Linked DNA regions of Drosophila melanogaster. The protein of the gene in region 4 interacts with the protein of the main gene of each other region in a pairwise test. Each region holds a gene or a part of one and is shown on either strand. Other genes may lie near its edges.

Region 1 (7,353 bases), about 14 Mb from region 4:
CGCTCCCAAATATCAATTCGATCACTAAGCCTGACCTTGTCCCACTTCACCTGCGCCTCCACACTCTTATCGATGGCCATTTGGATGAGCACGCGGTGGGCATGACCGTAATGGGCAATGGGCTGTTGGATGTCGTAGGGCAGAACCTGTTGGAAGTCCTCCTTGGCCTGGAACTCCTGGCCGTTAATAACGATGGGAACGTGCTCTACCCTATTGAGAACGCCCAGCAGGGCGGTTTCCAGTTCCGTGCGTTCCTTTGAGCCCTCGTCATACTGAAGCAGCTTCTCGTTGGCCACCATCTCATCCAGCGTAAAGTGCTCGGATAGCTCGGGTCTCTTGCTGGTACTTCTAACAGACACGAGGCTTAAATAAGATTGAATGTTAGAAAATATGTGTTCGAAAAATAATTTCAAATTACGCGCAATTATCGACTTATCGCTACTGCTATCGATGTAATAACAGTATGTCGATTATCGATTGCAGAACAGCTGTTGATTCGATAAGAGAGCAAAAGTAATAACAAAACCCATGAAAGCCAATTGTTATTATTTTGTGATGCAATAGTTTCAATATTTGGATACAAAATGCAGCTTACCCGCCTTTTACTGAAGCCTCGAGCCTCGGAAGTATTGACCGCATATTTGAAACAATGCCATGAGCCACCTTGGACATCATATTTCGTGAAGGTAAGACTCCCCTTTTTCCGCCCCAATATTTTCACCAGATCTAATGAGAAATATGCTCCAAGTCTAGTTTCACGATGTGGCCAACGATCAGAGGGGAATGTCTCACTTTAATTGGACCCTGGAAAACGGAACCAACTATCACATTCTTCGCACCGCCTGTTATCCCTATATGAAGTACCACTGTAGCAAGAGGGAGGTGCAGGATCTTTGGCTGGAGGACAAGTTCTTTCGCTTCCTTAAGGTGATTAATTTGGGTAAGTCCAGTAAACGGATTATGCTACATAGGTCCGTGGTAACTCGAAAAAGGTGTATGCCCTGTAATGAATCCCGAAATGCATATGGGAAAGTCCTCATTCGAGTTTAATCAAACTCCCAAAAGACCGCATTTATATCCTTAAATTCTACACAGGCTTACCAATGCTCTTCTATGGACTGGCTGCCATCCGTCTAATTAGTCACACCGAGATCGTTCATGTCAGCGAGACGGTAAAAGTTCCCATATACTTTCTATATCCTGAGGACAAGGGCTCAAGCTTTTGATTTGATTTCCTGAACTCCAAAATGTGAAATGTGAAGAAAAGCCTTCTTATCTAAATATATGCATATTCAGTTAATGTAATTAGAAGAGAACACTGGAAATATCTCATCCATATATGTATGTATTTGTCTTTTTGAGATAACTACACCTTGCATTACTTAGTTTGTCTACTTGACTTAGTTTTATTTTAAAGCTATTAATTGAAACCAATTATTTAAAATTATCCAAAATCACATCTGACTATTTCTTAGCAATGGCCAGACACTTAAACAACAACCCAGAACGACACACACTTTCAACAAAGTCTGGAAGGCATCTTATGTTTTGCAATCGGTCGGATGATTTTCACAAGTCTCATCATAGTTATCTAGAAGCAGGGCCTTTACAGAGGCCTCAAACTGGGTCAGTGAGCACGGTGCATCGCAATTGGGAATGGTCAGCTCCTTGGGGAATTTGTCTTCGCTGTTGTAGTAGTAAACCAACTGCAACCAAACAACCCAAACTGGTAAGAATCCCATAGTTAATAGTAATACGCTACCAATACCAACCTTCACTTCAAAGTCTCCATCACTGAAAGACTTGCTGTGATGAAGCTCGAAGGCCAATGCCGATGCATATTCCGGAAGCTTGGTAGTCTGGTCCAGTATGCCCAGGGAATTCATCACGTTAACCAAAGTCACATCATGACCGGAGTACAGGAATATTTTGCGATCGGGATTGAGATTCCTCTTGCGCTTATTCTGCATTTTGTTGAGTATATCCGTAAGGAAAGCGCCACCCTTAATCCGCTTCATTAGATTTGTTTCGGTGAATAGCATATAGCTACGTTCAGCTAGTGGCCTAATCTCCTCGGGGTATATATTCTCAGTCCAATCGGGCAGCACCAGATTAGCTTCCTCTTCGGTTTTGAGTGTGCCATAGAGTAGCTCCACGTCCAGTACATTTGAAATGTTCTAAAGGATAATATGATAATATCAGAAGTGAAAAAGTGAAATATATCGTATGGCAATAAAGGAATTAACAACCAATATGGGTGCAACTCTCTCCCACCTTGCCTGTGTTTTTGGTTAGCAATTTGTACAGCTCCATGTTGTCCTCGTTCAGTTTCTGGAGTTCAGGAGGCGGAGATTTGTAAAGCTTCTGCAGAATGTGGTCATATTTCAAGCACGGTTTCTTTTGGGCCAACAGCTAATAGAGTTAGATCATAGTACTATGATGATGACTTGCATTTGACTAATGGAAATATACAATTGCACTCACGATATCTTCATTGCGAGATAGCGTATTGACGGCCACCGGCTGCCAGGGAATGGGTAGCACATTCTTGTTCTCCAGCGGCGGCATCATGCCGGCCAAGACGCTCTGGGCGCTCATCTAAAAGATAACACACGGCCAACTGATTAGGGCACCACCATCTCGGACAGATAGCAAATAGAGTTATAGAGGATTTCTTATCGAAACAATTGACGCACCACACAGCGTTCCGCGGCCGAGCTGAGCACATTCACCTGCTGCTGGGTGTAAAGGCTGTTCGGAGGCAGCAGACGGTAGTAGCGCATGCGCAGATTCCTTCCCAGGTTGTACGCCTGCAGGCTGCCTTTCTGTCAAAGGGGGTTTAAGAAATTTGTAGAATATAAATATCTTTATTAAAATATATTAAATAGTAATGTATGTTTTACGTGTCTAGCATTAAAGTTTTAGATATCACCAACTTGCATCTATAATTCATTCTTCATTGATCATTTTGGATCATAAAATTAAAACCAAATTGGAGTTTTAAATGCAATGAAACACACTGTTTTACATTATTGACATTATTTATTTACATGATAACCGTTTAATAAATACTCTTTAAAGTGTAAAAATTCGTACGATAAAATGTGTTAATTGGAAAATAAATAAACATAAACGAGAGCGTTATAGTCTAGTTTCTCAGCTAGTGCAAGCAATAATATATCAAATAGTACGAAAATCAAACAATTTTTTTTTAAATTTCCAAAAGAATGGGCGTGTCAGTTTTGATCAGCCCTATTGAAAATTGATGTGTTATCACTTATACGTTTTGAGTTAAGAGAAAGAATTTAAAGTTTAGGTAGGATCCATATCCTAATCTATACTATTGTATATCGAATACTAACCGGCGTGAGGGCTCCCATCCCGCCCTGCCAGTCGTGGGCAGCGTGCGGATCCAACGGATAGAAGCCACTCGGATTCTTGGCACCATGTCGGAACAGCTGGTGGGCATTGGATTGGATTGATAAACACAGTGCTCAGATCTCGTTGTTTACAACTTTATGCCAGAAGTGGCGGCAGCTTACTATGGATATCATGCGTAGATTCCGCAAACCCTGCTCGTCGTTGCTGTCGCCGAACACAAAGTATGCCATCATGACGAAACAGAGGGCACTTCCCAGGGCGATCACCGATATTTTGGTGCCGCGTCGCGATTTGCAGTCCATTTTTAGGGAGGGGGTGCGGTGGCGTCTCTATGCTCCTGCTGCAGTTGATCGAGAAAATATATTTCAGATTTGCAGCCTAAAAATAGTTTTTTGTTTATTTTATAGCGAGTGTTTTCGATTTCGCTGCCCCCGTCGACGAAACAAATAATAAATAAATACAAGTCACGTCCGATGGCAACAAAAGCCGTATAACAACTGAGCGACTGTCGATGGAAGGTTGCCTCACAGCCAGAAAGAGAGGGGGCGCTAAGAAGCGAGAGAGAAGGCTATATAAAACAGAAAGAGCCAGCTAGAGACAGTCGGAGAGCCGGGGAGACAAGTTTTCCATGTGATTTTGGCATTGCGCGAGAGTAAAGTCTTTGAACATGTGCGAATAATTAAATTAGTCGCTCATTGGCAGTACAAATTGGGTCTCGACTAGGTGCTACTGTGTGCAATATGGTGGTCTATCAATTTGCACTCATGTGAAAAACATTGTTTTTCAAGTTATTTGTCTTGCCTTTATATCTTACCTTGCGACATACAACTATCGCTAATCATATACACATGTAAGTTAACCAAATAAATATTTATAAAATATATATATTTTGATCACTACAAATTCCAACGAAAAATCAAAGAGGGTAACGTTTTTTTTCTATAGTCAAACGTAGATGCTGAACTGAAATATGAGATATCTATTTTCTGGATTTTGGTGCCTGTTCCTCGGCATCCTCCTCAGATGGTTCGCTGGTGGGTTCCTCAACCAGGTAACCCTGCTCGGTGGTATATTTGCGCTTCTGCGATACTTTTCTTCGCCTCCTGAAAACCGATTCTAATTTAACGTATTCCCCCGATCTTGACTGCTCGCTAATCTCCACCGATGAATAACTCTTTGACGAACGCTGCGAATCGCCAGATTCCTCAGCTGCGCCGGACTCTGAATTTGAACGGTTTAAGCAGAGAACAATCTCGGGAATTTCATAGCCGTATCCCTCGTCGTCATCGGTGTGCTCATTCTCCATTTGAACATATTCTAGATTTGGCTCATGGAAACATGAGTTGGATTCAATGGTTGGATATATAAGACCAGTTTCCAGATTTTGCCTAGTTGGCAGAGCCAAGTGCGTTTGCATATCCGATTGATAGTGGATAACGCCCATTGGTCCAGCTACATAGGCGGCATTGCTATCTGGAATTGACCAAGTTGATGAAGCACTGGTCATTATGGAGTCAATACTATAGGAACGGATTGCACTCGCATCACATTGGATCAAAGGATACTCATAAATCCCGGGCATTATGTATTCGTAGTATCCCATAACGGTACGGCGTCGCCTCGATCCAGACATTTTGGCCAGTTTGCTCCTGAACAAATGGACGTCTAGTTAACCCTGATCCTGGATAGTTAATTTGCTCGATATTATGAATAATTCTAGTAGGAGAAGTCCCCAATTGGCTCCAGTTGATTAACAATGGCCACTCTCATTCGCATAAAATAGATGCGAACATTTAATTCCCACATCAAGTGAAATTCCAGGCAAAGTTCGATGATCATCAGTTTTGTGGATATCGAGTACCAGTTCTCTAGGGGATTAGGCAGTCTGCTGTAGCGTGTATGGGATTGCTGTAATCAGATGCGATGATGGCGATGTCGGCGGTGTCCAAATGAGGACTTTGTCTGCCGGAAACTGAAGACGAAACAAATTTGGAATTTCATTCGACGAAAATTTTGAACTTTGCTTAGCTTGCCTTAGTTACATGCGAACACTACCTTCACAGACAACCAAGTGGCATAAAAGTATAGGTTTTCTAGATTTTTAAAAATGTCCTTATTGATGTAGGCATTACAGTTGACTCGATTAGCTCTAAAGTTCGCATAAAAAATTATATATTTATTTCAGATTGTAAGTCTACTTTTCATAACTCTATAGACAGTCTTTATCCATAATCTTAATAAGCGTAGTGCAGCTTCAAAAATATTCGGTTTTAATGCTTGTTTCCCCCGAGGACACACCTTTCCGTGTCCAGATCCTCGTCCGAATCTATTCGCTGGCAATCGCCGTGTCCCACAGAGCAACGTTTGTACAACAGATAACTGAACCACACGGTCAATGGAAGAAGAGCCAATCCCAGTGGCATAAGGAAGAGCAGCAGGAACTCCCGTCGATCGCTAGTCGGAACTCCCTCATCTTCATTACCGTAGTCCGACCAGTACTCATTCTCCTGATCCGTATCCTCCACATCGGCCAGCACATCCAGGAAAGCCTCGCGGATCTTATGGCCTCGATAGCTGATGGCCACGCAGGCGTAGTGTCCGGCATCTCGTAATCTCACTCCGTCCAGAATCAATTTGCTGAGATATATCTGGGGTGCCATCATCTTTTCTGGATCGGTGGACAGTAGTTCATATGTTCGACCATTGTACCGGACAATATGGTTGCTAAAATTTGAGGTTGTGGGTGCCGAGGAGGCTTCGCCACCTGACTGAGTTCCCACGTACGTCTGCCGGCGAAACCACTTGATTGTGGGATGCTCCTCGCTGTGAACACGGCACTGGAACACCACCCTACTGCCCACCAATGTGGTCTTGTTGTTGGGATACGAGTCCACAAACTCAGGGGCTGCCAATGAGGTGTCTACAAATAGAATTTATACATAATTTTCGATATGGTATATGGTATATATGGTGATGAAAATTGTACATACTTTTAACATCCAGCTGATAGGTGCGAACCAGTTGAACATCCACAGCCTGGGCTTTATCCCAAATGTGCGGATTAATGCTGCATTTGTACAGTCCCGAATACCGCTCCGTCACATTCCGGAGCCAGAGTTCCGGACGACAAAGACTCGGCTCACATGGCAGAGCAGTCCACTCGTCCACAGATCCCAACTGATGGCAATTGTTTTCGCTGCATTGCTGAAATAGTTTAATGCTAATCAATGGGTACCAACAATAATAATAATAATAATAGTACATACCTTAAAGTACCAATGTATCTTGATGTCATTCAGCATACTCTCATCGACCAGACCTTTGAGATTGCACTGCAGCTTGACATCGAATCCGGCTCTCTGTTGAATTAACTCTGTGTTCTCTGCACCGGCAAAAAAGATATAACAAAAATTCCGAACCATTCAATCAAGGCAATGGCAATGTTTACTTTTTTCTGTGTCAATGATAGCCAAATTGACAGTATCTTATCAAGCGTTGTGCTCCCCGAAATTGCGATTAACCTTCTGAATATTTTGACGAATGAAAGCGGAAATGTGTAGTAACAAAAAGAGCTTCTAAATGAAAATATGCACGTACTTATATATATATCTTCGAAATTAAAATTACCCTTATAGTAAGAACTAAACTCACCTGTATAGTCAACAAAAAAACAGCGGGACTGCTGAAAGCCGCACAGGCAAATGAGTATCAATAGCCAAATGCGGCCAGACCACAGATCACAAATCATCGGATCCATTTCCACTTAGCATATCCGCGACATTGTCTTCCACTTGCTATCGCCGAAGGAACCTGTCGAACACTTTGATTAGTTACTTTGGGGCACACACAATCGTTTGGCATTTATTTATTTGAATTCCGCTGGCTGGCCGGCCATTCGTTTATTTCCCAAATGATCGATTTTCATTTAATTTCTTAGCAAACAAACGAGGCTCTCAAAGTTTCTATTTATTT
Region 2 (7,363 bases), about 21 Mb from region 4:
TCTTGAAAAGATCTCCCGCATCCTTGTCCCATACAAATAAAATAACGATGGCTGCAACTGCTCCGGTAATTATGCGCGTCATGGCGTCCTCGATCAGCACCGCCAAGCGGGCTGGCGGCATCATACGCGACGTGCTCAAGAAGGGTGACCTGGGCATAGTGGACAAGGGCAAGAACGATCCGCAGACGGAGGCAGATCGCTCTGCCCAGCGTTGCATTATCGCCTCCTTGGCCAAAAAGTTCCCCACCGTCAAGATCATTGGCGAGGAGGGTGGATCCGATCTGAATGTCTGCGACGACTGGCTGGTGAACGAGTTGGATGAGGAATTCCTGCAGCACAGTTGCCCCGCTGAGTGGAAGGATGTCAAGCCCGAGGACTTTGTCATATGGGTAGATCCCCTAGACGGCACAGCGGAGTATACACAGGGTGCGATCTGGAGATACCTGTAGAGCTCCTTATATAAAACTAAATGTTCTCCTTTCATCCGCAGGACACGTTGAACACGTGACCGTCCTGATCGGCATAGCCGTGAAGGATGCTGCTGTGGGCGGCATCATTCATCAGCCATTCTACCAACAGCCCGATGGCGAAATGGGTCGCACCATTTGGGGCCTGAAGGGTCTGGGCACGGGAGGATTCACGGCAGTCCCCGCGCCAGCCGGCCAGTTCATCATAACCACCACTCGCTCGCATTCCAATGCCCTGCATCAGCAAGCCCTCAACGCATTCGCATCCACAGAAGTTCTGAAAGTCGGAGGCGCTGGGTTCAAAGTGCTCCAGCTGCTGGAGGGAAAGGCCCACGCGTACGTCTTCGCCACGCCGGGCTGCAAGAAGTGGGACACCTGCGCACCCGAGGCCGTTCTAGAGGCCCAGGGCGGCTGCCTCACCAACATCAACGGCGAGCACTACGCCTACAATGCGGATGTGGAGCACGTGAATCGACAGGGAGTGCTGGCCAGCCTGGGACAGGACCATGCCGCGCTGGTGGAAAAGATTCCCGCCGAGGTGCGGGCAGCAGTGGGAGCCAAGTGAGATAGCTTTGAATTCCAGCACTTTATTAGTTTATTTGCACTAAAAGTAAACACACATAAATTAAGCAATAACAGGTTAGAAATTTGAAAATTGTTAAAACTGGGCTCAGAATGCATTCTTTATTTATCGAAACTGCCGCTGTTGTTGCTCTGTGTGCTGCTGTTGGCCACCGAGTTGTTCAGGTAGCGATTCCGCTTGGCCTTGGTCATTTTGCAGGAGTTTACGGAGGCCGCGAAGCGCAGCGACTTGACGGACTCTTGGAAACAGTCTTGGAACGGCGAGACGTTGATGAACATAAGCGTTTTCGAGTTGCCGCCCAGCGAGGGCATCAGCAGGTGCGTCAGCTTGGAGTTCCTGTACGGGATGTGGTCCTGCTTCTGCAGCAGCGCCAGGATTACGTTGGTGAGCTCCGATAGCGAGCGATTGATGTTCTTTGTCTCGGTCATCCGGGTGCTCGTCTTGGGAGACTCAGAGCCGGCCAAATCCACCAGGTTTATGGAACCCACGGAGATCTCTTGCTTTTCGGCATGGCGTCCGATGAGCTCAAGCTTGGTAACCGCGTGGGAACGAGAGGAGCGCTCGTTGCCAGCTGTCGAGGCGGTGGCACGGTTCATCTTGGCCGTGTGCATGAGGTGGCGCAGGTGATTTGGATCCAGAACCGTCTCCTCCGTTATGTTGGACACGTAGATGTCGTTCTTGTTGTTCTTGGCCATTCGAATCTCCATGTCCTTCTGCTCGTTGCTCAGCAGATCGTAGAGCACCTCGTTGTAGATCTCCAGAAAGGTGGCCTTGATCTCGTACTCCCAGCCCAAGTTGCGATATCCCCGGATGGAGTCGAAGAGCAGATCCACCGTGCGCGGTATGACGCCCACACTCTCCGGCACTCCGTCCATTGTGTAGGTCTTGCCACTGCCCGTCTGTCCGTAGGCAAAGATGCAGATATTGTAGCCATCCAGGGCCGACTGGATGAGCGGCGAGACCATCTCGAAGATGTCCGACTGCGAGGAGAGCGGGTGGAAGACCTGGTCGAATGAGAAGATCTGCTGGCCCATCTTGCTTTTGGCCTGTGCGTCAATGCTCTGCAGCTCCACGGTGGACTCGTCGTGATAGGTCCAGGTGCAACACATACGGTTCTCCTCGGACTCCAGCGGCGGTCGTATTCGACAGAAGACCCGGATGTTGCCGCGCAGGTCCATGACCGTGTTGTGCAGCTCTTTGCGCTCCATGTTCGACTGGAAGAGCTGCTCTTTGCAGGTCTCCAGCTCGGCGGCCTGCTGCTCATTGCAGCGCAGGAGTTCCTCGGTGCGCTGGCGCAGATGCACCACTTCTGTGCTTAGAGCAGCATGCTCCGTTTTTACTTTCTGCAACACACACATTGTTGTTACATTTAACCTGGGTTTCTGTTTACTTGAGTACTCACCTCATGTATTGCTTGCAGCTCGGATAGCTCCTCTTTGGTCCTGCCCAGCGTCGATGTGATTGTTTCAATTTTGGCGGTATGCTGCTTCACCTGCCTCTGAAGACACTCGTTGTCGCTCTGGGTGTTCTTCAGCGAGGACTCCGTCTCGATAAGCTTGTTCTGCGTCTCCTCCAGTTGCTGAGGCATGGACTCCAGCTCGCCCATGTCCTCTGTTTGCTTTTCGTACTTTGTCTTAAGCACCTTGTGCTTCTCTAGCAGATCGTGGAAGCGGGCCTTGAAGTCGTAGGGAGCGATGCGCTTGGGAGCAGCAGCCGCGGCTCCTGACGAAGCTGCTGCTCCTGTTCCTGCTGGTTTCTTGGCGGCTGCTCCTCCTGCAGCCCGTGGAGCAGGACGCGTTACTGGTGGTCTTTTGACAGCTGTTGCTGTTATTGACGAAGGCGCCGCAGGACGCACTAGTCGCTGGCTGGAAACAGTGAGTGCACCGCCCAGGCGGGATACTTTGCTGGGAATGCTGGGCAATGAAGGAGCAGCCGCAGTGCGCTTGTTACCACGCAGTTCGTTGATGTCGCAAGCGCTACGGCTACGTCTCAGCTTGGCCCGGTGGCCCAACTTCATGGGCTCTGGGGAGGCGGCACGTGCTATCGGAAATTAGCAAGGACTTAAGGTGAATTCTTTGGAAGGATGCTTCTTTACTCACCTCCTCCTCCGCGACGCTCCAGCACCTGGGGCAGATTGTTGAGGTCCCTTGAGAGGGGCGGCAATAAGTTGCCGCAGTATGTCTGGTTGGCATTGACATTGAAGGCGCCTGCTCCAGCGGCTCCACCTCCCAATCCTGCGCGAATTCGATCTGTGGGCAGCACGGTTTTAATCGGCATTTGGGGTTTCTTCAGGCCCGACGGTTTCGGTAGCCGGGATTCCATCGCCAACTGTGTTGTGCCTAACTTAGAAGATACGTCTGCCTCCTTGCAACCGATTTTATCAATTAGTTTTGCGTTGTTGACAAGCGACGCCGTCGATTCCCGCCGTTATTTTTGATTGCAGGGATGCTCTGGGGCAGTGTGACCATTTGTCGGGAGAGTACGGCGTTGCCAGCCAAGACGACTTCCAGTTTGTCAATCAGATGTTTTCAGTGCTGCAGCTTTGGCCCTCGGGCACAAATTTTCGCCTTGACTCGTGCATCCCGCAGGTTTTCGGCGCGTGAAACTCACCCAAGCGGGTGTGAAATACGGTGGCTGTTGCATTCGAACCGTTCATTTTGTGGAAAAGTCGCGGCGGACTGTTCAACAGCCTGAAGAGTGAAGTCTTGTGCGCAGCACTAGTGTCGTTGCCGGACGGTTGCGGCAATCCGGGGCGAACTTCTTGAAAGCGTTTTGCTTTCTTTTTGCGAGCTTGTGCGGTGTGAAGGAAGGCCGCGCTATTCTGAAATTTATTTGTTGCCTCGAAAAAGCTGTGGAAATTGCGTTCCAGTTGGAAAGCAGTTGCGTGATCGGGTCGTTGCCAGACCGGCCGCAGGTCTCACGCGACCATCTCTAGTTTGTTTTCATTCGGATTGGAAAAGGCTCGTTCCCATCGAACTGATTTTGTGAATTTTAAAATTGGCTTCCCCCACGTCCGCCAATCCCCCCGAGATGTCGGGGCAGGCGGAGCTCAAGGAGCTGGGCATGTTCGAGCTGCGCCCGCTGATCACTAACATCAGCTGCAAGCTGTCCGCGGTGACAGCGGGGCTGGACGAAAAGCGACAGTTCCTATGCCTCGTTTCTGAGGAAAACGAGATCCTGCTGCGCTACATAAGCGCCGCCTCCGGCCAGGAGGTGGTCAAGATGATATCCTGGTTCCGCAACCGCGTCATCCACGACGTCTGCTTCGATCCGGCGGGCGTTTGGCTGCTGGTGCTATGTGAGTTTCAGCGTATGATGGCATGAGCACCACCCACTTTTTTGTGTTGGGTGGGTGGTTGCTGTGGTGGTGCTGCTAAAATTACTTTGCCCCCATGTGTGCGTGTATGGTTATTGATTTTCTGCTGCCTCCCCTTTGTTTTGATTTAACGATCGAATGGAGTCCTTGCTCAAACACCACTTATCCACTGCTCTGTCAACAGGTTTCGACAACACACTGCACATCGTGCCCGCCCTGGCGTTGGTGGACAAGGCCCATGGACTGTCCGCCTGCTCGCTCTACAGCACCACCCAGGTCACCTCCTACATCATCCCCTTTGTGGGCCCCCACGAGTGTCCCAACTCCAAAAAGTGCCCCAATCACTCCACCGGTCTGGAAGAGTCCACGGCGGAGCCAATGGATCAGTTGGCTGAGAACCTAGAGCAGGCCAGGTTGCAGGAAGGCGAAGAGGAGGAGCCTCTTGGCCACGACCTGCCCGAGCACATGCTGGTGCGAAATAGCGGAACTGAGGATGCAGTGCAGCCACTGCCGCAGCAGCAGCAGACGATCGATACCACCGGCAATAGCCAGGTGATGGCAGCCTCTTTCATGGCGTCCAAGACCTGCCCCTATCCCTTGTCCGTCGTCTGGTGGAAGACCAACAGTGGACAGAATAGGGCCATTATCGGCTACTCGGATGGCTCCATCTGCTTTGTGGGCCTGAGTCCCAACTGCCCCATGATTGCGAGCACTGCCATCGAAAACGGATCTGTGATGCGCCTGGTTATCTGCAAAGATAAAGCCTACGATGGTGTTATGCTGCTGGTAAGGAACTATTCTACTAATATAGATTTCCAGATGATAGAATATGGTTTACCGTCTTTCAGATAACTTCCTCCCTGAAGCAGCAGTACAAACTTTTGCTGGAGCAAAAGGCAATCAAATACGTCTATCCCGGAGACAGTTCCCCGACAACCCGCGAGGGCGCCTGGCAGATCGTGATGTCCGTGCAGGACAAGCATCAGAGTGCGGCGACAGGCGCCCGACAAAGCAATAGTTCCGATCCGGCCTCGGACAGTAGCCAACTGGAAGAGGATGTGTTCGCGCCTCCGTCCAGCGATGATGTGGTATGCAGTGGTCCAGGAGCAGCCAACTCAGACCCGTCCACTGTTTCGGCATCCGCAGAGGCAGCCACTGCAGACGTGCCTCCACCACCGGCGCCGCCTTCGTACAGTGAGGCAGTGGCTAGGCAATCCGGTGACCAAGGCGGCGTTCGCTTCCAGCAACAACAGCTGCCAGCGGGCAGCATGGATGGCATTCTGCCCGCCACGAGAGCCCGACTGGCTTCGCTCAAGAGTCTGGGATCGAAGAAGCTGCAGGCCATCAAGATGCGACTTTCCGATCAGCGGCAAAAGTTCGATGAATGTGCGTAAGCTGACGTAACAAGATATACGTTTTTCTACTCCCTACTTTAACATATTTTCTCGCCTACATTGTGTTTATATTTGTTAATTTAATTGCCGTTTTATTGTGAATTTTTCATTTTTTTTATTGGTGTGCAGTTTTAAGAGAACTGTTGCATCTTTTGAAGCGTCGCTTGCGTGGTGAGTTTGCACAACTCTCACACTTGACAGACCAAGTAGAAACAGCTCGAGACTTGCAATCCCATGTAATGATATCAAAAGTAATCCATTCCCTCTGTTCCAGTTATGCCGGACTCCACGATGGGCTCGTTTGCAATCATGGATTCGCCGTCGGTTACGCCGGAGCCCCTAGGCACCACCTCCGGATCCTTTTACAACATACAGAACCTGCGCAGCACCTTTCTGCTGAGTGCCCTGCACAGCAATAGCCACAGCTTGACCGTGCACAGCATCGACATCAGCCTGAAGCCGCTGTTCGTTTACAAGATACCCAAGCACACCCAGGAAATACTCATTAGCTCCAACATACTCTACGGCATACACTACGTGGACCTGCACTGCCGCAGCGATTCGGACCACTTCACGGCGGCATCGTTGCTGGACGACCCGCTAGTCGCGAACACGGAAAAGGAGAACCGCGACGCGGACATTGAGAAGGTGGATCAGTCGGATGTGAGTGCCCAGAAGAGCGATTCGACGAGCGCAACCACCACAGCCACATCGAGCCTAGATCAAAGCGACATGCCCAGTACTGCCATCAATGCCGTGTCCGTGATCAGCAGCGCAATGGCCTCCCTGCATACCTCCGACGAAGATGTGAGTTGAAGGCGCTTTCAAAGACCTGTACGATTACGAGTCCCTAATAAACACTCTTTTGATTTCGGCAGCGCTTTAATAATCTGGCTCAGCTAGGTCTCTTCCGCTTCGAGAATGAAACTGTGCTGCATTTATATCAGATGGCACAGTATCGCAATCCCTCCGCCGAACCAGAGACGCTTACCAAAGAGGAGAAGGCCAAGGCTTTTGAGCTAAAGGATATCCACACGCCCATGGACTACATCCAGTTCTACGAGACGGCGGATGTTAGCAGTGAGTTTTCTCTGCGGCAAATGGAGATTATGCAGTCCGAGTTTCCGAAAATTAACTACGATCCAAGCTATGTGATCACCAATAAGAATGTGTACACCATACAGCTGAAGTAAGTTTTGAATTGGTTGCTACGCTCGAAATCGCTTACTGAATTGAAATTACTTTTTGCAGAAAGGAGCCGTTCGAATTGTTCCTGGATGCCGCATTGCAGAACGAGTTCAACCAGTGCCGCGACTTCTGCAACACCTTCGACCTCTCCTTCGAGCAGTGCATCGAGTTTGCCGGGGATTACCTGCTCAGGCGGAAGAAGATCACTCAGGCTCTGCTCACGTACAACAAAGCGCGGGTGAAACCAATACGCACAGCCTTGAAACTGGCCATGTATGGACACACCTACGCTCTAATGCAGCTAAGTGCTATGGCCCTCAAGTCCACATATCTGCTGCGCTCGCGGTACTTAGGTCATCCGCTGCTCAAGGGTATTTTGGGAGACATTACGTATCGTCACTCGGAGGATGTCCGT
Region 3 (10,027 bases), on a different chromosome or scaffold from region 4:
CGAAATTTAAATATTTCACCGACTTCTACCCCAATTTCCACGCTGTCATAATATTTTATGGTTGCTTGTTTTAATTCCTTGTTCCATCATTTCACAATTTTTTGATGTTTTATTTTCGTTTCTTGTCTCATTTTATTTTTCCTTCTTTTCCGTCTTGTCAATTGTCCAACAGCGTAAAGTTTTTAATTTTTATCAAAAGATTTTTTGGGCTGCTGCTGTTTTTAATGAAATTTTCGCGCTGTCCTGTAAAGGATTGGACTCCATCGAAATTTGCATAATTTTTTGTCAGCCATTTTTAATTTGTGATTTGCGGCAGTCGAGTGAGTGTCCTTAAAAAGTTATCTTCACATTCTTTTTTCATCTTTTTGCATCTTTTGTAATTAAAGACATCTTTGAGTTTTAGGGCGTGCACAAAAAAGTTTATACTAATTTTAAGCTCTCTAAATAATTGTTTTTAATTTGTTTAATTTTATTAAAACTTTTTTAGAGACAAATTAATTTGTTGTTCATTGATTCTTAAAACACTTTTATAGTTAAATTTAAGATGCAAAATAATAATAATAATTCAATAAAATCTTGATTGGTCATTTTCATTCCCACTAAGTGCTTTGCTAAAATGATATTAGTTTTCTTTGGAAAACTGAATGAACTTCAGCCCTCTTTGATGCGCTACCAGTTCGTAGGATCTTCTGCTGGCTGGTTTTCATCTGGCAAATCATTTTAATTGCTTTGCCGCACTTGGGCATCCTTCTCCTACCAAAGAGCCCCCGGAATCGAGGGCTTAGCCTTTGTTGTTGACGATGGCGATGGTGATGGCGATTGTGTGCGGCGATAATAATTACACGTCACGCTGCCACGCAATCAAAACATTATTTGTGCAAAATCACGGAACTGAACTGAAGCGGAAGTGATGAAGGACTTATTGGCTGCACGCGTCCTCCGTCGTTGTCCTTCGCCAGCGAAAAAAAAAAATGTTTAAAAAATATTTGGCTGGCTGACTGGCTTTGCGGGTCTATTGGCGCACCCTATTTGCATTGCACCCAAGTCTCCGGATCGGAAGGACTCCGTTCCGTGTTAAATTCAACACAACGCGTGCGGTCACGTGGCTAAAGGATACGCCCACTTTCATGATAGTCACAATCGACAGTCGAGATTTAAACAAAACGTTGTGCCCACCGCATCAAACGTCATTCACGTTGCCCCCATTGAAAATCATCAACGCGGCCAAAAAGACTGGGAAATCAGGAAAGAGCTGCGGAAAATCGCTGTAAATTATGTAAATTGTTTTCCCCGGCGAGGTCGCAGATTGAAAGGAGTGCGAAAATTTGCCTAAATGCTGGCAGGACACACCAACAGGTTCAAACTGTTGCAGACAACGGGAGAAATGCCAAACAATGTGAGAAATGCCAGAAACATATGTCGCCATTATCGGCAGTTAACCAACATGACAATCCTTGCATAGGGAATCTGATAATTAGGGAATGATTTTGGGGAGTAACAAGTTCAAGGATGGCTTGGAAAAATATTACAAAACATTTAATATGGAGTCGACTTTTGTATTATTTTCTTTTCTACTATTTTATCGAAGAAATTACTAAATGACATACTTAACAATAATAACTTAAATAATAAATGCGTAGAAAATAATATTTTTATATTTTCTTTCTTACCATTAGATAAAGTTGAATTTGACTTAAAATGATATATAAGAAATTGATTCAAACAATCCAAATTTTGTTCAGCTTTTTTGTTGAAATTTCTCTGCTCATCTTGTTTCAATTGTTTAGCGAAAGCGATATCTGTAATCCCACCAAACACCATTAATATAAGACTTAAAATGCCACCCTGCTTTTGCTCAATCCATAGATCAATGGGAAGATATCATTTCGCATTTGTTGTATATTACTTCCTGTTTGGCATGGACATATACATTTCATATTTTTCCCACCAGTCCGTAGTGTCCGTAGATGTCCTAGATGTCCTAACTGTCCACCCCTTGAGAGCGATATAGTCGCATTTCCAGCCCCCTGACGACGACACACGTCCGTGGCAATAAAAGCGCAAACGTTTCAATTCCGTTGCGGCTGACAAATGCACGGAAAAAATGCCAGCGATTCTGCCCCAAAAATATATTATAATGATAAAAAAAAATCGAGTGAATGGAAACGGACGAAAGTTTATATAGATGCTGTCGAGTGTTTTGATTTGTAACGTTTCTCACTTCATTATTATGCAATAAATAATGCCATCTACATGTTCCATCTAATATTATGCAGAAGGGCGAATCGCAGGGGGTAGTTTATTTGTCCTGCGATTTCTGTCCATCGGAAGTGGAGCGGAGCGATGGTCAGAAAATCATTGCTGTTGAAATTAATGAGGCCTAACATGACTGGGCGCGATTTTTTTTTTTGTGCGAAAATATTTTTGCGAAATATTAGGAAAGTATTGAAATATTGAATATGCCGGAGTACGTGGTTTCCGTATTGTCCGTGGTTTATCATGATATCCGTATGGTCCGTGGTGTCCGAGATGTCCGTGGTCTATATAAAATAATAAGTAAAACAAAATAGTTTTAAGAACAATTACAGTCTGTTCATAAAAAATTAAATTAAAATAGGGGTAAGTGTAAAACACCATTTGGAAACTTCAAGACCTCTGCTGGAGCTTTTTGGCATTACTGGAACAGTTGTCGCGTGGCCAAGAATTTCGAAAAGTTCCTGGCACGGAGCTTAAAGCGTGCTCTACCAGAAAAGTTTATTTACTTCTTCTATGCGTGTATTTTCCGATATCGATACCGATATCGATGGTACGAAAAAGAATGCATATCGGTACACCAACGCCAAATCAAAGTGCCAAAATGGCCTCGTGGCCTGCACGAAGGACCTGCTCACAACGAATCCTATATACATCGAAATCGTGAGTGCTACTAGTTTTGGTTCCTCGATTTAGAGCTTCGATGCAGTGTTGCGTTAAAGAAACAGGGCCTTGGGTCTGAGGAAAGTGCAACCCTTTTCTGTGTCCGTCGCTGATCCTGACCACGCCTTAACATTTTCTGGCACCGCCTACGCCTACCCCATGCCGACGGCGCCGACCTGCGATCAGCCTCCGCAAATGGTCACATCCCGTACCAGAACCGTTTGCCGAAAGCTCCAGCTCCACGGTAGCATTGAACCCCTGTGCGAAAGCTTCGCCTGAAAACCCACCCCCATTGCAGTGGGCACTCATCTCCATCGTTGTGTGTGTGCTGGCATGCCGCTGAGAGCGGTTCTCGCTTTTTGTGACACAAAGAGGAGTGTCATGCAGCATAAATTTCATACGAATTCCGCACACTCGCAACGCGTCGCAGATACTTTTCGGCAAAGTTTTCCGCAGGAAAAAGCCAGTGTAAATAAATTGAAAAAAAAAACCGAAAAAATGGGCGACAGTTCCTCTTAGTTATTAACAAAACGGTGTAAATAAATGGGCGTGTTCGTTAAACGGTAAATGATAGTGTATTTGCGACTGTGTTTTTATTTAACTGAATGGAATGGAATGGCCAAATGCGCCCAAGTGGTCAAGTGAGATAAATCAAACAAGTTTCTTTGGGGCGAAATAAAACGGCGGCCAGCCGAAAATCACCATGGGAATGGAAATTAAATGAAAATCCGGCAATCATAAATAAAACATAAATTATGTTTCGCTGCCAGTTGGCGGCAACAAAAATAAAATAATCAAAAAAAAAAAGGAAGATGTGAACCAAGCGGATATATTTTGATTTTTTTTTATAAATAGAAAAATCAATTTCTCTCTCTCCGAGGAGCGCTCTCTCTCTCTCTTTTTTGGCGCGCGCCTGTCTGTGTCCGTCTTCCCCCAAAACGGGCGCATGTGTGCGTGTGGTGGTGTGCGGTGTGTCTCGCGTGTCGGTGTCTATTATAATATCCAGTGAGCAAAAGCGAGTGGCCGAGTGCTCTCACTCACTCTCTCTTTCTCTCTCTCTCTGCGAATAATTGAATATAATTCAAGTGTTTTTGCTGCACACTATTTGTTGTGCTTATTATCGTTATTATTTGTTTAAATTACCAACGACAACATAAACAACAACAAGAGCACCACGCGCGCGTTTAGCACAACGCCGTGGAGCCACCTTCGAAGGCATCGAAAACATCAACAACATACAAAAGGCTCTCAAGGAGAGCGATTTGCGTAGTGCTGCTGCAGCCCTGGTCAGAAAAACCCTTTTATGGGTTTGTCCTGTTTACAAATTGACGCTGCAAATTGAATTTATAGCACGGCTGAAACAAGTGGATGAGTGCCAGCCAGGGACCCACTTAATTTCCGCTACGGTCCCCAAAATACAGAAGACAAATAAATGAGGAAAATGCCACTACAGTGAAGCATCGAGCAGTGGAAACTTGAAATATTCATAAATTTCGAGCTAAAAGTTTAGTTTGTGCCATATTAATAATGATATTACTAAATCAAATTCGTTCGTTAATATTTGATTCAATACCAAACGAGCACCAAAAGTATTACTAAAGAAATTTGCACTAATGGTTCATTCTAGACTTGGTATCAATTTATAAGTTTTCCACTAACTTAACTTCACTTGAATTAGCCTAGTTGTCCTGTATTTGGTTTGAACTGGAAATCGGTGGGCGAGTGGTTGAGTGGGTGGCTTGGGTGGCATTTTCCCTGAGAAAAACTCACGCACAAATGTATTTCCCCCCCGAGGAGCATTTGTTGCTGCTACCTCAATCTTTCGAAATTGACAACGGCGGCAGCGGCAGCAACAACAACACCAAATCAAATAAATTTAATTTACACACATAGTTAAATTAGTGAAAATTGAATAAAACAGAAGAAAGAATAGACGACAAACGTAAATAAAAGACGGTGAGGTGACGGAGACGCGAAGAGTGAGGAGCGGCAGACCGAGCGGGAGAGCAACGTGTCGAGCAACAAATTAATAATACAACAACAAAAACAGATAAATAAAAAGCAACACAAATTGAAAACAAAAACAACAAGAGCAGCAGCAGAGGCAGCAGCAGCGATTCTGGATTTCTAGAGGCAGCGGCACATTCAAAAGATGGGCTGTGGACAGAGCAAGATACATTTGTATCCCAGAAAATCGAAGAGTAAAGCGAACGGCAAGAAAGGAGGACATGGTGAGTAGGCGAAATGAGAGTATATCCTTTGGGCACCTGCCTTTATAAGTTCCACACACGGTGCACCAGACGTAAATGCGTTAAAGATGAAGCAAATCAATAGGTTATCTAAGGGTTTTCATAAGCCCAAAATACACAGTTCAAATATTTTTAGTAGCCACCTATGTGCATATATATAATAAAAAATCAGCAATACTGATAAATTGATCTTCAAAAATTTCTCAGTTCATTTTACTTATAGATTTTATGTTATTCTCATTTTGCGTGCTAGAATTGATATTGTTTTGCCAACTTTGTGTATGCCCGATCATTTGGAATGATCTATCAAATCGTTTAGGCATTTTCCTCTGTGTAGAGCAAGGGAAATTGGGGAAACGGCGAGGAAAACGTATTGCCTCGCACAACAAAAGCTTACACGCATGACGACATCAATTTGCCTCCAGCTGTGTGTGCATGTGTGCGTCCGTGTTTCCGTGCATGTGTGTGTGTGTGAGCCACCTGTTTCCACACAATGAGGACATCATTGATTAATATGTCACCAGCAGTGAAAAAAGAAGGGGAAGTTGAAAGGAGGAGCCCAGTTTTAAGGCCATACATTCACCAAAGTAATAATAAAGGCCTACATTTTAAAGCCCACAGCATTGTCTATATATAAACACACACACACGCACACTAGCCAATTTAAGTTTATAAGAATGTAAAAACCTAGCCTACATGGCAAACTTTTGACTATGCCCAACCCCGCGCGTTTGTTGCTGTCTGTGTCTATGTGTGCGTGTTTCTTGCCTTTTTTATTTCATTTTGTGTGTGTATAATTAACTGCTAAAAAGGCAACTTGTTGTTGCAGTGGGCGCCGCTTCAAGGGGCGTGGCCAGCCCCCCCCCCCCAGTTTGTATATAGCTGTGTGTGTGTGTGTCTCTGTGGGCAAAAGGGTTAAAGCTAAAAAAGTATAGCATACACAAAGGCGCCATTGTGCCATAAACGACCCAAATATTTCGGAGGCGCCTAAGCTTTAGTCTCGTTCCTAGATTAATTATTCATAATACTCGCGGCTCTCGCTTTACCGAATTTGCATTAAAATGCATAACGGCTTTTAATTAAATTTATGGCTGGCAAGGCCACTTCAAAGAAAGGCCCGAGGAAATATTAAGTATACGCAGGCTAAGCCGAAAGATGGATTAGCAAAACAGAAACGTGCAGGTACAAAAAGGATGCTAAAAACTTTGATTTCTTTATTTATTTTTATAAATAATTAAGTATTTGAAAGGCAGATAGTGTTTTTTTGAGTATCCATAGTGGCCCAGGACCTAGCATAATTTCTACAAGTGTTTTCTAAGCATTTTTCTCGACTGCGACTGCCCCCCGTTTCGCAGAGAAGTTTGCCACACTTGGCTTATTGCAAAACTTTTGCCACTCCATGGCACTCGCGAAATTGCCCACTCATCTTGACTAATGCTCGAAACTCTTCTTTGGCATTATCCATTTGTTTGGCAGCCGACTCAGATGCCGAAACGGACGAGGACGAAGGCCATATCGAGGATGCTGAGAAGGCACAGCAGCGCGACCGCGAGAAGCACGACGAGAGCGAGGAGCTAAGCAATAAGGACATCCAGGAAAGCGACGAGGACGTGGCCGTCTCACTGCTGCGCGCCAAGAACCTATCGCTGCTGCAAAGCCAGTAAGTTAGCCCATCGACCGCATAACCCGAAAATGAACACCTCACTTTTCCAGGGAAATATCATCTAGCCAGCAGAACTTCTTCCGCATGCTGGACAAGAAGATTGATGAGGTGAGAGTCCACTTAGTGATACATTCCCACATACCAGATGGGAAATTTAAATCAAGGGGGTTCCCAATAGTATAAAAACTTAAATCACTCGCTATAAAGCACAGAGAACAATTGTTGTTTCTATAAACACAAAAAGTTGAAAGTACGAAATTCTATAAATTCATTGACCCCAAATACGTAATTTAATAGAATTTATTAATTTTAACATACATATATATTTTAAAAGCTTTGCAATATAAACTCAACCAATGTAAATAATGATCAGCTAACTAGTCATAACATTGATGTGTAATTGGCTGTTCCGTGATAATAAACAAATGGCCAAAAATCAATATATATGTAAGTGCACTAAGTATTTGGCTATCCCAAATCGAAAGAGCAAAACAATTAGTTTTATGGCCCCCTATTTGTTTTCTTTTCGAACAACATGTGAGGAGCCATTAAAATTCGCTTGTTACCTGAAAATTTGACTTCAAAGAGATTGGAACAACTTATGCGCAGCAAGAAAATGTACATATATGCCATGGGGATTAATTTGATTATTTTATTAAACATGTTAGACACAAAATCTTTTATAAATTTCCATTTTAAAGGTATTTTAATTTGATCTTTATATTCTGGGTGTTTTGCTAAACTTTTACTTCTTGTCTGTGACCAAATCTGGCTAAACACAAACACGCTTGTTTTAGGGTCCCGACTACGATTCGGCCAGCGAGACGGAGATCGCATTGGAGGAGGCCCGACTAAACGCCCTGCGTCAACATTGGGAGTCCGCCAGCATTACGGCCTCCATCTGCTCCTCGGCCAGCCGCTCGCTGCAGACGACGCCCATCCGCCAGGTGCAGGTGCCATTGAAGCAGCCACCGCGTGGCGCCGGCCTGCTGATTCAGCCTTCTAGCGCCTCGGCGGTCACCGCCTCCACCTCCTCCTCCTCCTCATCGACGATAGTCGCGCTGCCCACGACGGAGTATCTACCTCAGCATGTGTTGACGGGACGGCAAGTGGTGCAGCAGCAGCAACAACAGCAGCAGCAACAGGCGGCAGTGCTCTACCAGCAGCAGCAGCAGCAACTAATACTGCTGCCCCAGTTGGATCCTAATGTTGTCAACACGTCCACGGCAGCAGCAGCGGCACAGCTCGTCCAGTTGCAGCAGCAGCATCAACAGCAGCAACAACAGCTACAGCTGCAGCAGCAACAGCAGCTGCAACTCAATCAGCAGCAGCAGCAGCAACTTTACCAGCAGCAGCAACAGCAATACCTGCTGACCCTTCCCGCCGGATCAAAGCCCCAGAGCGTGAGTCCAAAGCGCCTGATCTATGGTGGACCCGCTGCAACCACTCTCCTCTGTGCAACTGGGTAGGTTCAGCTATCTGTCATCATATATATATATATTATATCCATTTAAATACAGTGATGTGCATTTCAGCATCAAATGCAACGCCCCCGAAACTTACGAACCGCCAACCGCTCCACACAGCCAAATCCAGCAGCAACAGCCACCGCCTCCTCCGCCGGGCGCCTACTACGGCGAGATGATGCACGGCGTACAGGTGAGTGATCCTATATGTACTGGATCTTAGAGGGCAACTTGAGTCTGCTGAAGAATTCTTAAAAAATTCTACTGTCTGCAGAATTTGCGCTCATGAGCAACTAATTCTTAATGCCTATTATCTTGACTTTTAGCTTAATGACTAATATATTTACTTGACCATTTGCAGGCCGCTCCAGCGGCGGAATACAAGTTCCCGCCGGCCATCAGCGTGCAGAGACTGGCGCCGCAGGTGCAGCGGCAGTTGCGCGAGACGCAGGAACTCATAAAAGACTCGTGCCCGCAGCTGTATGCGGCGGGCTATGGCAGCCCAGGACCACCGATACGCAATCCCAGCAGGAACCCCACTAGAACTAGACCCACCCTGGAGACGCAGTTCTCGCAGGAACTCTCGTGATATCTATATATGTAAACAGCCGGCAGACGGAGGATGCACCCACGTTCAGACACACACACACACACAACCACTCACAGTTGGAAAAACTGCAGCCAAAGAGGAAAGCTAAAATTAACCAAAATTATAAGAATACGAAACCCGTGACAAAACACACAGTAAAAAAAAAACAAAGAAAAAGCCAAAAAAAAAAAACAACCAAAAAGAAACTTCAAAATGAAAGAAAATCAATTAAGAAATTGTAAAACTGCACTCAATGTTTCAGACCCTCAGAATCCCCAAAATGCGTACTATTTGCAACAAAGAAACAATATGAGCAACTACTATACCTATGCGGAGCAACAAATAAAGCATTCAACTACAAGGATATTCAAGAGGCAGCCAAAGAAAGCTAGGGACATAGGTACATAGGGACATACCGAGTTGGATCCGAAAAAGCGCAAGGTACATAGACTTAGGAATCGAGTATAGCGTTATAAAGCGATATATACATATATGCAAATGCCACAAAGGAGATGCGGAAGCGGAAGCGGTCGCTGAAACGGAAGCGGAAGCGGATGCTGAAAACGGAGTAGGAGGTGTTAGAGCCCGAGAAAAAGCAAACACAAATCATACAAAGTAAATAATATAAAGTGTAACAAACAAATGACTTCTACATTCTCACGCAATTTTGTTAGTCATAAATCTCATGGTGTAATTTTTTAACAAATATTTTTCCGTCAAATTCTCGAAATGGTGTAACATTGATGATGGCGGATGATGATGGAATGTTCGTTGGATATGCAATTAACGGATGAAGCTGTCTAGTAATATTTGTATACTTTAGTTCTATTTATTATTAATAATATAATTTTGGATGTATGATAGTTTTTCTTATATGGATATATATATATATACATATATATTTAAAATGGAAAATAAAAGCAAATCAATTAAGTTTAAACCCAAAGACTTCCTTATCAGCGGGAATAATTAAAAGCGCACGGTTGAAATTCTAATTAATTCCTTTATTCATATCTTGTTATCAATTCATACTTATGGGCTGCTGACATAAAATGGAATTACATTTCAAATTTTTGAACGTATTTTGATGTTTTATTGTTTTTGTGTTTTATGTTTGAAGTTCTTGTTACGATGTGAAAAGTGT
Region 4 (7,315 bases):
GGAATGCCATCGGCGATTTATAGGCCGTAACAAGCCCGGCCCCGTGAAAGATGCGCGGGAAAACCGACACCTTGGCAAACCAGAAACACATGTCCGGAATCTAAGGATCTTCGGGGATGGGAATCGGACCGCATATACTATACGCACTGACCAAGCTGGGAACGACATCATCTAGTTAGGAACTTGAGTGCGAACGCGTGGGATCAGGTGACACGAAGGTCGGTTGCGGTATGTTGCCGCTCAACTGAGCCGGGTATTCGTTTACACCAATAATTCATCCTCAACTGCAGTTGCGTCGATCCGTTTTATGTAGCGCCCAAGGTCCATGGTCCCTGGGCTCGTAGGTTCTAGATTCCAGATACTATGTTCCAGGACTCAAGTGGGTCGCATAATCACGTGTCGATGCCTTTTTCGTTTGGGATTTATGCGCGTTTATGGGAGTACCGCTGCCGTAGACAATTTGACGCTTCCGCCTACTCCAGCAGTTGTGCACTGGGGAAAAATGTTGTTCGAAACGATACAAAAGGTAAGATACTTACAAAATTACTATATTTTTTTGTAACTTTAAAAGCGGCGATTTCCATTGTTAAAGGACTGTGCAATATGATAATTTTATACGAATAATAAATGAAAAAATGTATTGATAACAATTAATAAGGTGTACTTTATAAGTTAAATTCTTTTCAAAACATATATCCAAACTTCTGTATCTATAATTCCAAAGTGTTTTTTCCCAGTGCATAGTCCCCGCCCATCTGGCGCAATCTTATGTAACTTGTCCTCCTCCTCTGACTTATATGTGTCAATTTAATAGCGCATTTGCCACTTTATGACATACGATGCTGCTCCTGGTACTTGGACTCCTTTTCCCAAGTCCCTGGTGTTAGCTCCTTTGTTTTCTCAAGTGCCTGGCAGATTCCACATCGACTCCTTCCACTCCCGCTTGTTTTATAACACAGGAAGATACAACTGGAAAGTATCCGTGAAGGAGAAAAAAATAAGCGGAAAACGCACAGTGTTCATTTGTTATGCTTGTCATTTGTCGCTGGCTGCCGGCGACTTCAAAGCCTGTCACCCAATTTGTTAAACGCGGAGACAATTTTGTCATCAGCTCCCCCAATTCTTTATCCCCAATGCTTTAGTCATCAAATTGAAGCTTTGGCCGCCGGGGAAGAATTCTTGGTTTTCGCATATGGCCAATTATTTTGTAAGTCGATCCATTACGTATCGGAGATTTACTTCTTAGCGTTTGGATTATTTTATTAAAAGATTTACTTAATTGTTTTTAATGATTAAATAAAGCTCTTCAACTTGATCTATTATTATCTATCTAGTATTACTAAATAAAAAGAAAAAAATTGTTTACTCTATGATGATTTTGTGTTTCCCTTTAATCATTTCGTTCTTAAAAGTAAGTAGAAAACTGAACAAGAAAATGCATTGTTTTTACAATATTATTTAAATAATATGTATTTATGTTTATTACAAAATCAAAATGCCAATGTAATAGATACATTTTAAATGTTTTTAAAATTTATATAAAAATTATAAAAAATTAAAAAGACAAGTAATTTAACAATAATGAATTGTATTAGGAGAGTTTAGTTTAAATTTTTTAAAGTACATTGTAACTATAAGAATTATTTGTTTTAAAACAAAGGCAATGTCGGAAATGGCGTTCGTCAAACCACAAAATGCAGGGAAATGCAGTCGGCAATGAGCAGAAATCAGAAAGTGACAGGGAGAGGGCCAATTGGATTCGCAACAAAAGGTATGAGCAGGTAAGCGTAAGCCAACTCAAGGAGGTGTGTCCAACGCGCAACAGTGTGTGTGGGCCAAAACACACACACACGCGCACTAAGTGCACACACAGCCATGCTAAACAGCCAGCGAAGAGAGCGAGCACAACATTAAGAATAGCAAGAGCGGCGATTTGACCATTTTAATGAGGGAATGACAACGACAATTGGCATCTATCATTAAATGGCGGTATTCAGAATTAGTGACAATCAGATGAAGACGGCATTTCTTATAATTAACTCTAACCAAGCAAGACGCAACGCCTCAGCGAGAGTTGGCATCACGCATACGCCGCATTGGCCGGGAGGTGGATCCCTGGGGATCTACGGGGTTAGCTGTCTGTGCCGCTTTATTAGCGATATGGCTTTCTTAATGAACCAAAAATAGATGCACGCGCTCCGAGAATTCCCACAGCCCCGCCCCTTTCCTTTTCCTTCCGTTTCTCTCCTTCTATCCTTCTCCCTCGGCTCCTTTTTCGTCTGCTCCTCATCTGTGTGACACTAAGAAGTCATGACATCGCTCGCCCACCCTGCGTAACGCTACGGATACGCTTACTTGCTTCAGATTGGCCATTCAAGCATTCAGAAATTAACTCCGCCCGGTTGCGTATGCTCACTCACTCGGTTCGGTTCGTCTGTGTAGGTATTGCAGCGGAGAGAGAGCGAGAGTACGAATTCCGATCCATGGATACACCCACACATCCGTTGGCACACAAACACAAAGTTGAGCGACTACAGGAGCGGTAACTGGGGAAAAAAGGAGAGATGGGTTGTTAGCTTAGTTTATTATCCATCAGCAAGAAAACGGAAATATGTTATGATAAATAATAAAAAAATTGTATAGATTATTGTGTATAACTTGATGTAATAAAGTCTTAAAAACCTTCTTCTAAACTTCTGAATTCGATCTCTTTATTAAAATATTTAATTTATATGAACCCTTTACTTTAAACACTTACAAGATATTTCGATACCAAAGTTACTGGCGCCTTAACTCTTCTGGGCTTACCCTCAATTCGCTGCCTGCGCTCCTGATCGCTGAAAGACATTCTTCATTTTTATTATTTGCCCGCGGTCCACCAACAAACGCACACCAGTGCGCGATCATCGCCATTAAAACCCACATATACGCTCGACCGACCGCCCCTTCCTCTCACGGATGAGTGTGTGTGTGCTTGCGGAGGAGAATGCGGAGAGTGAGAAAAAGAGAGAGCGAGATCTTGGGATGCTGCGTCGACGCGGTGGCTTCCACTTCCACTTGAGCCTGTAGATGTGGATGTGACTGTGGCTGTGGTGGTGATATTCAATGTGTGCGTGGACGTGGATTGTGGGCGATCTTGATCGGCAGCGCCGCGGGCAGCGTTAGTCGCAGCAGACACGGGTGACGAGCAGCAACGATCGTTTTTGGAGAGCGCGCCAGGTTTTCCCGATCCAAACCGTTCCCAACCGATACGCTACGACCCGATACGCTAGAGCAAAAAGGCCATCGAAAGATTTAAAGGCGCGCGCACGGATCAGTGAATGCTGTTTAAATCGGTTCATTTGCAAACCATCAATCGCACGGGAGGTCCGCCAGTCAAGTCCAAAGTAAACCGACATAATTCCCAAAATCAAAGCATAACAAACCCATTGTAGTGTCATTAAGTGTGTGTAGTTCCCGCTTCCCCAATAAGGTGTGATAAGTGCGTGATAATTTTCGAGCCAACCTACTCGAGAGCGATCGTTTTGGCCCGAAAATGTGCTAATCAGATCTCAGTCTTGGTTCACGGCATAGTAGGCATCGCAGCCCGATGCTGTCCCGCACAACTGGCGCCAATTTGTATACAAATTTCATGCCTTAATTGAAACTCACATTATAGCCAAGTGCGAAAAGTTAACGACTAGGTAACCACCGACAATCCCCAGCAAAGCAGAGTCCAACTATTCCGGCGAATCCAATCGGAGAAAGTTCCACGGCGGAGTTGGCGAAAGGCAGATTTGGGTGCCCACAATTGCAATTCTGGAGTTCTTCAATCAATTGCCATCGGCCGAAATGGACCCAGGTATGTCTCAATCCATGACTCACAAAGATATAGGCCTCAGAATTCATTTCCAAATTAAAATTTTTAGATCTATCGGCATTTTTGAGGTGCCGACGGCATTGGGTTTCTTTAAAAAGCGTAGTAGCTATTTTATTGATAGATTTGGGTTAATATAATCAGAAAAACAAGAATATGTATATTGCAGGAAATATTGATAAGACTTTTGAAATCACATTTCCCTCTCTATCTTAAAATATAAGGTAACGAAAAGACAAATTCAAAAGTAGCACTATATTTTCACTTAAATCTCTTAACTTAAGCCCGCCACTCGAGTGTTTTGCCAATAAAGCCCTCTTGTCCGATCCTCCAGCCAAGTCCTTATCCGGATCCCCTAACTGCTTGGGATAAACACAATCGCTCGCTGGACCAACTTCTTTTTTTTTTTTTTTTTTTTTTTGGGCAACATCAAGAGGCAGATGTTTGCTTTTGATTTTCGTTTCAAAAGGCTGCCGTCGCTTGGCGCATGATCGACAGCCTCGCGGTAGCCGCGGCACTTGTTTGACTTTCGATGATGTCGCCGACGTCCGCACACGTACCCGATTCCAAAACCCAAAACCCTAAACCGAAAATCCAAAACCCATAACCCCAATCCCAATCCCAAACTCCGGAGCCAAGGCTCCTAATTTAACTAATGATCGTTGTAATGTTTCTGCCTTTGTCGTGCGGTCTTCACTTTTGGCTCCAAGTGTCCGTGTCTCTGTTTGTCCATGTGCTTTGGGCCAAAAGCAAAATGCGAGTGCAAGACATGGCCTTATGGCCGAAAACTACGCTACACAAGTGTGTAAAGATTTGATCAGTTCTCTCAGTTGTTGACAAACATGTGCGCAATCGAATAATTTGGCATGCGTCGATTTACTTTTACAAATTTCGAATTGCTTAGATCATCTTTTGAAATAATTTGCCAATAGTTTTCAATTTCTATGAGTGACATACAAGTGTGACTGACTATGGGTAATCTTTTATAATGGTATTCCCCACTTAGTTTCAAGTATTTATTTGTTTGCTTGAGCCTCTTTATGGCAAAGTATCAAAAGGACATACACGAATATATATTTTTCCACTTGTCCGAGCTGAAAAGAAGTTATAAGTCGGCTAGGAGGTCCCGCACTTTTGGTCCATTAATGACATGCTTTCGATGTTTTGACATTCTGTTTGTACGCCAGCATTGTTTGCTCACTAGGAGACGTCGAAAAAGATATAGACGCCGATGCAGACCCATGCTCATGCCCGAACCCAAACCAAAACCCAGACTCTGGACCAGAGGTGCAGAAATGCGTGACTAACGGCCACCGGTAGCCATCTACTTCGGTAGCTAAACATGAAAAGCCCACCAGACGCGGGCCGCAAGTGCAAGATGTTAAAATCACAGAAGGGGCAGTAAAACAAAAGGCGCAGACGATGGCCACGAAAGGCAGGCAAACACTTGAGATCCGAGGAGGAAAACGTCGCGTCAATGTGTACATGCCTTAATGGAAGAGTCTATATGGTATGGGAGTAGGTGCCCAGGAGCAGCGACTGCGGGAGGATGCGGCGGGGACTGATCTGAAAGCCCGACCAGTAGCTTCCTCCCGTGGATACCGATGATTGCGGTTCGGGTTTGGGAAAACGCTTCACTGCCTCGGCTTGATTGTGTGGCGTCGTTTCCCCTGAGTTCTTTAATTAAATCACATCCCCGACCGCTGATGCGGAACATTCATTAAGCGCATTTGCAGTCATTTTGGGCATTGCTCGGCGAGCTTAAAAAAGTTGCACTAAATAGGCTTTGAGTATAATTAAAACCTCCAAAACCCTTTGCATTTTATCCTTTGAATAGTATGTTCTACTTTTTGTTGTAATATGCTAGGTTTCTCACTGTAGATCAGTTGACATTTGCTCCCTTTGGGCGTGGACATCTCCCCATGGATCCACAACCTCTGACATCTGACAAGTGTAGTTCATGTTCTTGGAAGCAAACTCAGCTCATTACCATATATTTAATGAGTTTCTAATCGTTAGGGGGCACGTGTTTGAGCCAGTTCATTCTGGGATAATGAATGCGATCGCATCAATAAGCGGGCGGCTAACATCTGGTTCTAACCCCTAACCCCTAGACTCTAACCCCTTGAGATGGCCTGTGTCAAGTCCCATGGGGGCGATGGCGACCCAAAACCGGAACTGCCACAATCATTCCAAACTCCATTTCTCAGTCTCGAATTTGGAGTCCTAGGATCAGAGCTGTGAAACTGGCTATTTTCCAGCTAGCTCTAGAAGTTCATTTCATACAATAAAATGATATGAAATTATGTAGCTAAAGGAAATTAAAGGGTTTGTTGTTAAAAGATAGTTTACCGCTAAACAATACAATAACAATTCCATGTAAGTGCCTCAGCTACTTTCCGAATCCCTAGTGGGCAGGATTGGGGAGTGGGTGAGCTGGTGCACATGTGGTTAGATTTATATGCATCTCGCCGCTGTCAGCGAAGGGCGTTGCACATTGCTCGAGTGCCGGCGAACCCGAACTGCAGCGGAGTTGTCGGTTCTAGTACATTGCCAATGATTGGTCGGATGCGTTGGATCTCCTTTGGGCCTGTGGGACGGGATCGGAACTCTGGCCATGGGTTTGCCATCGACATCGAGCACATTTCGGCTACGCACTCGCATTGTGCGCATTCCTCGTACGCGTAATTGAAGTCGCTGCGGCATCTTCCCTTTGGTTTTTTCTTTTTTTTTTTCGGCTGGGCCGCACCCCTTTCGAGTTCCTCGAGCTCGCTGGCTAGAGCCGTCATATTTGCTAGCCTCCTCCAACTGGGCCCCATCTACCAGTTTTCCGAAGGGGGCGGAAGAAAGGAGCTAGTGCGTCGCTATCTTGGCGGTGGCTGTCGTGATTTATGGACTCATTAATTTCTGTTGACAGACAATGCTGTTGACGCCGCAGGAATCTATTTAGCTTTATGTACTTTTGATTCCCACTTGCTGGGGCGCCTATCTTATGGGCTCCATTTATAATTCGAGGCGCTTGCACTTGATCTGAAAACGGAAATACGCGAGCAGATGGCAAGCTAGATCGAGACACTTAAAATTTCTCTAAAATGCCAGTTACCAGCTATTAGCGTTCCTTGGGGAAAGTAGCCGTAAGGAGTTGCATTTCTTCGTCTGGTTCAAAGCAGATTCGATAGATGTTAAGTAAACATAAAGCGATGCCAATCATGACTCTTTTCCATTGATAACACTTGGGATTGAACTCTGCAGCAGATTAAAAAGGAAAATGGCATTGCCAGCGGATCAAAGTGACAGACGTAGAGTGGCTTCCTCTTTCTCTTGGCGCGACGATTCTGTGAAATTCACTGATAAATAAATGCGATTGTGCGGCAAATTGTGCAACGCTCCGAATGCAAAATTGTCGACAAGCTCTCGCGTAGTTAGTGTAGAACCAAAAAAAAAAAAAAAAAAATTAAA

Evidence for each region.
Region 1: the proteins of Poxm (region 4) and CG6656 interact in a two-hybrid assay, tested with the Drosophila melanogaster proteins (one large-scale study listed by BioGRID).
Region 2: the proteins of Poxm (region 4) and ca interact in a two-hybrid assay, tested with the Drosophila melanogaster proteins (one large-scale study listed by BioGRID).
Region 3: the proteins of Poxm (region 4) and tow interact in a two-hybrid assay, tested with the Drosophila melanogaster proteins (one large-scale study listed by BioGRID).

The regions. Positions count from the first base shown.
Region 1 is NT_033777.3:21,871,820-21,879,172, reverse strand, and holds CG6656 (uncharacterized protein), read right to left. Parts: upstream 3,881-7,353; 5' UTR 3,684-3,880; coding exon 3,543-3,683; intron 3,459-3,542; coding exon 3,363-3,458; intron 2,826-3,362; coding exon 2,697-2,825; intron 2,599-2,696; coding exon 2,485-2,598; intron 2,413-2,484; coding exon 2,275-2,412; intron 2,178-2,274; coding exon 1,773-2,177; intron 1,707-1,772; coding exon 1,542-1,706; 3' UTR 1,385-1,541; downstream 1-1,384. Other genes in the region: P5CDh2 (delta-1-Pyrroline-5-carboxylate dehydrogenase 2), read right to left, coding at 1-363, 596-675; CG34148 (uncharacterized protein), read left to right, coding at 585-686, 754-940, 1,096-1,226; CG31178 (uncharacterized protein), read right to left, coding at 4,361-5,014; CG31431 (uncharacterized protein), read right to left, coding at 5,652-6,301, 6,372-6,585, 6,648-6,763, 7,033-7,138.
Region 2 is NT_033777.3:29,803,255-29,810,617, forward strand, and holds the start of ca (claret), read left to right. Parts: upstream 1-3,556; 5' UTR 3,557-4,080; coding exon 4,081-4,348; intron 4,349-4,550; coding exon 4,551-5,152; intron 5,153-5,214; coding exon 5,215-5,752; intron 5,753-6,034; coding exon 6,035-6,567; intron 6,568-6,638; coding exon 6,639-6,949; intron 6,950-7,011; coding exon 7,012-7,363. Other genes in the region: CG7789 (uncharacterized protein), read left to right, coding at 48-426, 491-1,032; ncd (non-claret disjunctional), read right to left, coding at 1,152-2,393, 2,453-3,090, 3,150-3,372.
Region 3 is NT_037436.4:6,939,623-6,949,649, forward strand, and holds tow (target of wingless), read left to right. Parts: upstream 1-3,233; 5' UTR 3,234-3,384; exon of another isoform or gene 3,385-3,479; intron 3,480-4,809; 5' UTR 4,810-5,068; coding exon 5,069-5,147; intron 5,148-6,641; coding exon 6,642-6,825; intron 6,826-6,878; coding exon 6,879-6,936; intron 6,937-7,625; coding exon 7,626-8,293; intron 8,294-8,348; coding exon 8,349-8,487; intron 8,488-8,655; coding exon 8,656-8,883; 3' UTR 8,884-9,691; downstream 9,692-10,027.
Region 4 is NT_033777.3:8,329,641-8,336,955, reverse strand, and holds the start of Poxm (Pox meso), read left to right. Parts: upstream 1-3,163; 5' UTR 3,164-3,831; coding exon 3,832-3,841; intron 3,842-7,315.